Linked DNA regions of Xenopus tropicalis. The protein of the gene in region 1 purifies or fractionates together with the protein of each later gene. This does not show direct contact. Links are inferred from orthologs where the notes say so. Each region holds a gene or a part of one and is shown on either strand. Other genes may lie near its edges. The genes, in order: slx4ip and slx4.

Evidence for each region.
Region 2: the proteins of slx4ip (region 1) and slx4 purify together in Homo sapiens (affinity purification with mass spectrometry; 6 studies listed by BioGRID and IntAct, with this or other methods). This does not show direct contact. The link is inferred for Xenopus tropicalis from reciprocal best matches to the Homo sapiens genes SLX4IP and SLX4.

What each region holds. Positions count from the first base shown.
Region 1 is NC_030681.2:26,761,555-26,766,039, forward strand, and holds the start of slx4ip (protein SLX4IP), read left to right. Parts: upstream 1-1,400; 5' UTR 1,401-1,477; intron 1,478-1,895; exon of another isoform or gene 1,896-1,997; intron 1,998-4,485.
Region 2 is NC_030685.2:20,680,095-20,683,917, reverse strand, and holds part of slx4 (structure-specific endonuclease subunit SLX4), read right to left. Parts: 5' UTR 3,803-3,823; coding exon 3,490-3,802; intron 3,394-3,489; coding exon 3,244-3,393; intron 2,967-3,243; coding exon 2,804-2,966; intron 2,724-2,803; coding exon 2,520-2,723; intron 2,061-2,519; coding exon 1,858-2,060; intron 1,625-1,857; coding exon 1,302-1,624; intron 953-1,301; coding exon 715-952; intron 638-714; coding exon 546-637; intron 1-545. UniProt on the Homo sapiens protein: Regulatory subunit that interacts with and increases the activity of different structure-specific endonucleases.

The DNA.
Region 1 (4,485 bases):
CATACCTCAGATTATCTAAATAAAAGAAAGACATAAAAAATAGGAAATATGTCTGTCACAGAAAAAAACCCTAAACATTATGCTTTATGAGTAGGCAAGATCAGCAGGAAGACTGCATGCAGGTTTCATGGGCACTCCCTGATCTCTCGAAGTTCTTTAAGCTGAGGACAGTATCAGCATGCACTAAAAAGTCTACAGAAAATCAGAACCGGCACACATGAGACTAAGGAAAACACACCGAAATATAATGCACAGTTTCCTTTAACACATTTAAGCACATGTCTTGTGGCAGCTCTGAGTTTTATGCAGTTTACAGACTTATTAACCAGTCAGCAACATCATTCTGTGCTACTACTGTTCTATCCCTGTCACATTTATACGAGAACATTCATTGTACAAGGATGTCTTTCTCAGTCATTCCTTGAAAACATTGCACATAACGACAATATAGTTGTATAACTAACTTATAAGACAAGGAAATATACAACAACTGGGAGGTGCCAAAATTTTAGGCCGCTCGGGGCTAGTGCTCCTGTTAGGAGAAAACTGCACTGGCTTTCCCCAGACGAAGGAAAGCAGACAATTCACTCCATATGCTCCCAGCCTTATAGTGGTAGTTCACCTACAAGTTACCTTTTACTAAGATGGTCGGTCATTTATTAGAAAGTTTTGTTCTTTTTTTTTTTTTTTATTTCTTATAGTTTTTAAATGATTTGTTTCTTTATTCTGATTCTTCCCGCTTTCAAATAGGGGTCACACTGACAACAGCAGACAAGAAACTTTGTATATTTATTACTTATTTTTTTTCAAGTCACTGGTTGCTAGAGTAATGTGGACCTTAGCAACCAAATAGTTTTTGAAGTTAAATTGATACTGAACTCTTCCTATAACTGAGACACCAACTAACCCCTTGTCATTAGGGTAATAATGATCAACTCCAGGCATTTTGGATACCTTATTTTATGTTAAGGTGCATATGTTTTTTCCAGAAGGCTCTTCTATTTACATTCCATTTACAGATTGGTATTTTATAAATAAATGTTAATAATAGTAATAATACATGACGACAGCCATTCATATGTTCAAATAACAACAAAGCAGTAAAGTTGCGTTTTAAGAGCCCTTATTTGGTCCTCTTGTGAAAAAAGCATGCTATACACTGTATTATTAAACAAAGTATACTTTTTATTGTTATATTGGTTTATATAGTCTCCCTTTACGACTATTACTTAGTTCCTGGTTCCTGAAAGCATGCCTAATACACACACAGACTCATGCAACCCACATATAAACCAAAGCACAGAGAACCCAATAAATGAAAGCCATTTAGCCACCACTCACCAGCAGTCTCTTTATACTACCAATAAGGATAAAGACTGTCCCAAGCGAGGACACAAGGTCATGCCAGCAAACAGGTTGGGCAGCGAAGCCACTCACTAGGGCGCAGCTTGATGACGTCACGCCCCCTGACGCAGATGTAACTTTTAGGATAACAAATTAATAACGCTACTCCGGGAATTTGCCCCGTTAACGCAATGCATACCAATATCTAAAAACATGTCGGTAATTTCAACTTGGCATAGTGCGTCACGTGGTATTTTTTTAACGTCAAGCCATTTGTCATTAGGTATAAGTCGCTGTAACAGAAGGCGCTGGTGGGGGGGGTGTAGCCATGGAAACGTTGACGCGCTGGGATTCCCGTGTTTTCAAAGACGGATTTACTGTAGACCGTTTGTGCATTCCGATTAAATCGAAACGAAGGCCTACTATGTTTTCCTGAAACTCGTAAATAATCGATTGGTCGTAACGAGGACTTTTGCCTCTTTCCGGCTACCGTAGCGTCCATCATTGAATGGGGAAGGCGCTGCTGCTTTGCCCATACTAAGTATTTCCCCCCTAGGTATTAGCGCGGTTTCTTGTTGCTGCTTCGCAGTCTCCAGCTCATGGGACCGTGGGGGATGTAGGCAAGAGAGGGATTAAAGGCATTTGTCTCTAAGGTAAAGGCGGCAAAATATTGTCTAAACATAACGATTAGGCATATGTGCAACCTCTAGTGGCCTTCTATTGCTGTACTACTGTTCCCATAAGCCCCTTTCAGCAGAGTTCAGTACTACTTCAGCAAAAGGACCCAGCGAGTTATATAGTGAATGCACTATTGTAAAATATAAGTCATAAAGGAGTTCCATGACCATATATAATCACTGGAGCATATTCAGCAGCTGATTTGTGTGGACCATTTAGGCAGATCTGGGGAGAAAACCTGCCTCTTAATTGTTTAATGTAACTGTAAATTAAGTATTTATTATTAAAACTACCCCCTGTTCATTTACTGTTCTGCTGTACAGTTCTGCCTACATAAGTGCTATATAAATAAAAATACAGTGATTTTAAGTTGTTGCACTGCCACCTAGTGGCAGCTTTATAACTATTAGTGCAATGTGCATCAAACATGATGTATTTATTTTTTTTAAATTTTGATTAAAGGCAACAAATACATTTTAAAAAGCTAGTGTTTTTTGTAGTGGTTGACGTAAGCTTAATATGTTGAAAGGAGTGTATGCGCTTCACTGTAATAATAAAGGCCCACCCACAGTCACATAAAGCCTCACCCATTGGCACACCAACCAACATGACTATTGTTGCATTTTCTTTAAAAGGGATATAATGGGTAAAAAACAAGAATGTGCCAGTGCATTATACTCCTCCAAATACTGAAGAAATATACTTAAAAAAAATATGTGATTGTGCTGATTTATTGAAAATTTCCCCAAAAAACTTTCTAGTCCCACCCATCTGTTGTTTCACTAGCCACTGGCTACTTTCTCAGGCTGTGCAGGGGAGCTGACAGTACCGCACTGTGCAATAGGAACCAATCAGCAGCTAGGTGGACCTAATAGGGAACCAGGGTTGGACTGGGCCGCACAGACATCGAGAAAAATCCCGGTGGGCCCGACCCTTGCCGGCGCTTCCCCTGCCTGACTGGTCCTCCCCTAATGCATTAAATTTCCGCCTGCTCAGGGGAGGACATCGGGGGGGTTTGGGGAAGCGGACGGCGGGGGCACTTGCAGGGCCCCTGGGACAGGAGCACCCCCCTGTAGGGAACTGACATTTGTCTTTCCTTGTGTGACGTTAGTGCAGCTATTGGTTATTCCCCTCCTACTGTGCTTCTGGCAGGAACTGTTAGAACATGCCCACATTTTCATTTGAACCACGGACACGAAATTTAAAAGATCATATAGGGAGCTCCAATAACAGGGCTTATTTTTAAAGATAATAATTTTTAGCTGCCCCGTATATTGTTTGCCTACAGGAATAGGGGGTGGGCTTTAAAACTCCTTTAAAAGCAAAGTTTTTTTTAAATTGAAAGTTGGACTGAGGATGTAGCCAGTACTTCATGACCCAGTGACCATGACAGCCCTAGCAGTTCCTTGCACTATACATGTTGCATTGTTTTTTTTTGTTTTTTATTTTGCTTTTAATACCTGAGGTGAGGGTGTTCACTGATAACGCTGGTATGTAATAATTACCCCTGTGTATAGTCACTCAGCAGCTTTGTTTATTTCATAACAAGTTATGTCATGGAACAGTGGCCTCAGCAATTTATGATACCACAGCCCCAGCAATATTTAATACTTTATTTTTTTTATCCCGTGTATTAGCACTGACTATCGGATTATAGTACAGAAGTTATCAGTGTTCCCTGCAATCATGCTCCAACCTGTTTATCAGATAAAAATATTCTGAACTTTCGCCACTCGGCAAGATCATCACATTCTGTGTGTTTTTAGTCTTAATTACAATTGAGCAATTCCGAATTCAGCATTTTTATTTTTCAATGTGAATTGGAGAAGAGTTTTGGGAAAGTGTGAAAGTAACAATACAGAATGTCAAGACAGGATGATTCTGGCTGATTCATGTTGTAATAAATCTGTAATTTCCCCAGGAGCATGTTGCTAGTGCAATTTTATAGACTCCTGACCAAGCTTTTTTTTTTAAATGAGTATTTATGTTTTTATGACCCCACCTGATGTTGCCTTGCGCAATTGCTAGTACTTGTACAGAGATCAGGAGAGCATTGCACTCTTCATAATATGTTCCTTTGATTCATGTGATTTTTCTGCAAACCTGAAGAAGAATATTTTTCTCACAGAAGCACATTTGGCCCCGTAATTGGTATTTATTGGAACTACCATACTGATTTCATCTTCTAATTGAAAGCTATAGGTTTTGAAACAAAACAAAAAACTCAAGCACTAGGGAACAAAAAACAAAATATCTGTTTTTTTTATCCATAATTGTTCAGTTGAAGAGATAAGCATAGTTTTAAATTATTGTCATTGCTGTAACATAATTGCAAGTGCCTAGATAAGTTTTAAAGGGCAAGGAAAATATATCGATAGGGGGCTGAGTTGACTCTCAGATTTAAAAATAACATTCTCAGACTAAGCAGAAGAGGACCATAGCCAGCATCAAATTTGAATTGTT
Region 2 (3,823 bases), on another chromosome or scaffold:
TGTAAACAGACTGAGGTACAGTACTTAGTAACCCACTGTTCTATGATTTTATGGTCATACAATTCATATAAATAACCCCAGAGTTCATATGCAGGTAACGAAGGTTCTTGGGTGCAGCCGATAGTACCCCAAGAGTCACAGAAACTGAGGAGCCTTATCTGAGTGTTTCATATCAAATCGTAGTATATTACACGGTATAAATGTTGACCACAGGCCAAGATTTCTGACCTAGGAAGCAGGTCTAGGCTGAAAGTCAAAATAGGCCCTGGCCCAATAAACAATGACTGTCTATGGCATCTTACAGCAGCCCCTCTGGCATTTGCCAGAATCCACAGATTGCCAGTCTGGGCCTACTAGGAAGGCTTTTCAAAAACCATTATGTGCACTTTTTCACTCTGTTGAGCTTTTCTGTTTATTTTCTATTTATGCTCTAACTCCCAGCAACGAGTGCTATGCCCCAGTTCACCACCTCCTATTTTTACCAGTTCTTTATTGCAACCATTCTTTCCAGAACCATAAAGGCAGGAGAGCCAATGAATGCTTACGGAGAGCTGTGGGTGGTCACTCTGCTTACAGGTCTCTTCCTGAAGTGAGGGGACAAATCCACTGGCTGTGACACTGCTCACAGATTCTCTTCCTATGAGAACAAAGCACCAGTAAATGACTGCAAACTACACTTAAGGGTGTGGTCAGATTTTACCTATCAAAGATTACCTCTGTTGTCCACTTCATGGCTGGTACCGAGCTTCCACTGGGTCAGTGTCATGCCCTCTCCTGCTAGCTCTGCAAGATCCAGTAATGCCTGCCTATCCTTCTGACTGTGGGACAGAAGATGCCCATCTTGGCTGCAGGTTTCAGTAGATTGTTGCTTGGCACTTGAGACTGAGCATGGAGGGGTTGCTGCCAGATGCACAGGTGTCACTGTACGTGGCTGTGAATTGTAAAGCTTGTGCTGGGCGAGAGAGCGACAGGGTCTAAGTGTCTTGTTTTACATTCTACACAATTTACCAGTATATGCCATCAAACTATGAACAGCTTTCAGGGTATCATGTTTGCTATAATATTAAATAAAAATATTAAATAAAAATACTGTATAACATAGGTTCCTATTTTGTATCTTTGATGATATAAGTTTCAGTGTTTTGAACACCTGCTGAATTGTGTTGGTTCTTTGATCAGCTGCACTGCGCAGTCCCACCTAAACTATGGCATGGCACAGATCAAAGAGCCAAGCAGGAAAGTATAATAAATAATGCTGTCACTGTGAAGCTTTGGAGCGAGCACTGTAGTATTGCTTCTACCTGTGCTGGAGGCTTCCATGGAGTTATAGGGGGGTTCAGCTCCTGGATGTAATAGCCCAGAAGATCTCTATTGTCCATCATGTTGCTGCCTTCCCACAGAGTACATATCTGCTTGTCCTGCAATGGCCTCCACCAAGCATGCTTTTCTTTCTCCGCTATACTGGATAACCAGCTTTGGGGCAAAGCTGTGTTACTAATAAGCTCAAGCTCTTCACTCAGGAGAATCGCCACTCTTTGCTGCAGTCTCTGGAAGGCAGCCTCAGGGGCTTGAACCAATAACAGAGGAGGAGGAGCGTTCTTTTGTTTTTTGCGACTTTTCTTTTCTGACACAAAAAGCAATAAAAGGGTCAGCATGCTGCAGATTAGGGTCTGGCATCAGAGAGCAAACATGAAATTAACCAACAAATAACTATGGATAACCCGCCCTTATTGCAGTCAACCGCCATCTCAAGTAGCAACACAACTGTGGCATCTAAGAAATCAACAACACATATACATGAACAATAGCAATTTTTTCCTGATATAACAAGGTGGAAGAATCCCCACTACGCTATACCTGGAACAGAGCTCTTAGTAGCAGGCACTGCCTTCTGAGCTATTTCACACATTGGAGTTGTTGGATCCTCCTGCAGGGAGCGTGACAATGCCATGGCAACTAGTAGGTCTTCTACTTCTGAGTTTGGTTGTACCATTTTCTTCTTTTTGGGGGGCTCCTTTTTCTTGGGTCCTGCTTTCCGCTTGGCCTTGGCCGAAACAACACTACAGCAGATGACAATTTGAATTCTTACAGAGAGGGTACAAGTTAGCAAACTGCCATATACTTTTGGTAGCAAAATAAATGGAAGTTTATTCCCTACCAACAGGAAGAAACCATCAATGCTGTAAACCTGGGGTTGTAGACAGATTTCAGCATTTGTCTAAAACCTATATGTAATCCACTCTAGCTGTAAGTGCTTATTACACAGTGTCTGGGTGCAGCAGCTCCAGGCTGGTAGCTTAAAGGGGGCATCCCTATATTAAATAAGTTACCCTGATAACTGAAATAAGTATTATGCACCATTTAAAAGTGTGCATTTCCATGATAATTGATCCTAAGAGCAGTTAGGGAAATTCAAATGAACCGACACAGAAGTAGCTGGCAGTTAGGATGTAATCTAATGTCTATAATAAATAATTATGTGGTGAAAACATTGAACATCAGTGTTGTGCCAAACTCACCAGGTTGCTGCCTCTGTGACTGACTCGGTTGTTTGCCTCTGGACTGCCTGCAGTAAGGTATGTGCAGGTACTTCCAACTGGGCAGCACAACGCTTCAGGTGAGAGGCTCGGCTCTTTTCTGAATTGAACGGCTTTCCGCACAAAGGACAGCTTGGAATGGTGGGCCCGGATGCTTCCCCTAAACTCTCACTCTGATCCAAGCACCTGTAAGGCAAAGGGACTAATGAAGCTACAGAAAATATTCATTAAAACTGTTCTATCTACAGGAAGAGCCACAGACATACCTGTTGACGTGCTGCTCTCTTATTACAGAATTCATAGCGGTCAGGTCTTTTTGGCAGAGTTGGCAGAAGAAGAGTCCTACATCTTCCAGGCTTTTCTGTTGCTCCCTGATGTCCATTTGCAGAGCTGCAGCTAAAGCGCTGTCACTTTGCAGCTGGTCATTCACTGAAGGCAGCAATGATAAATTAGAAGGGAGAGACAGTGAATTGAAGAAAATACTAAGGGGTGTATTTATTATAGTGTGTAATTAAACATCACCAGTAATGTTGCCCATAGCAACCAATCAGATATTTTCTTTTGTTTTCTAACTTGTGGTGACCATTCAAATCTAATTGCTGATTGGCTGCTATTGGCAACATCACCGGTGACGTTGGCTTACACACTATAATAAATATGCTCCTTGGTTTGTGTCTAGGTGACTATGTTTAAGAATGTCACTCACCATTAAGGTCACATGGTTCTGCACTATTTATTTTCATACGGTTAGGACAGGCCCTCTTAAACTGCTGCATCCGTTCCAAGACCAGATCCTTTGTACGGGGCTGTGCCTGGGGTCTAACTGGCTCTGCGTGGGCTGGGGGTTCATTTTCACCTGAACAACAATGAACGGGTCACACATAAAGTAATACTAAAAAATTTAAAAAATGACAGAGTCAATGTTTAAGCTTGCTTTTCTTACATCCCATACCTGTCTGTGATGGTCCAATTGAAACATTAGATAGATGGGTCTTGGGTTTTCTTTTTCTCTCTGTATCACTGCTGTCACATTGGTCTGCCTGTGCCACGGCCTTCTCAAGGTCCCCTTTTGCTGCAATGCTCTCTTCTGCCACCTTAGCACCCTCATTGTCAACCTGCTTCTTGCTGGATGGTTTGCTTCTTTTTAACCTGCTTTTGGCTGTGGTGCTGGTCTTTGGGACACCCTGCTCTGTTGGCTTGTTCTTTTTCACTCTTTTAAGGAGTTTGGAGCAGAGTTCAGTGAATTCATCATCAGACTCAACCATTAGTGCGCCGTTAAAAGAACA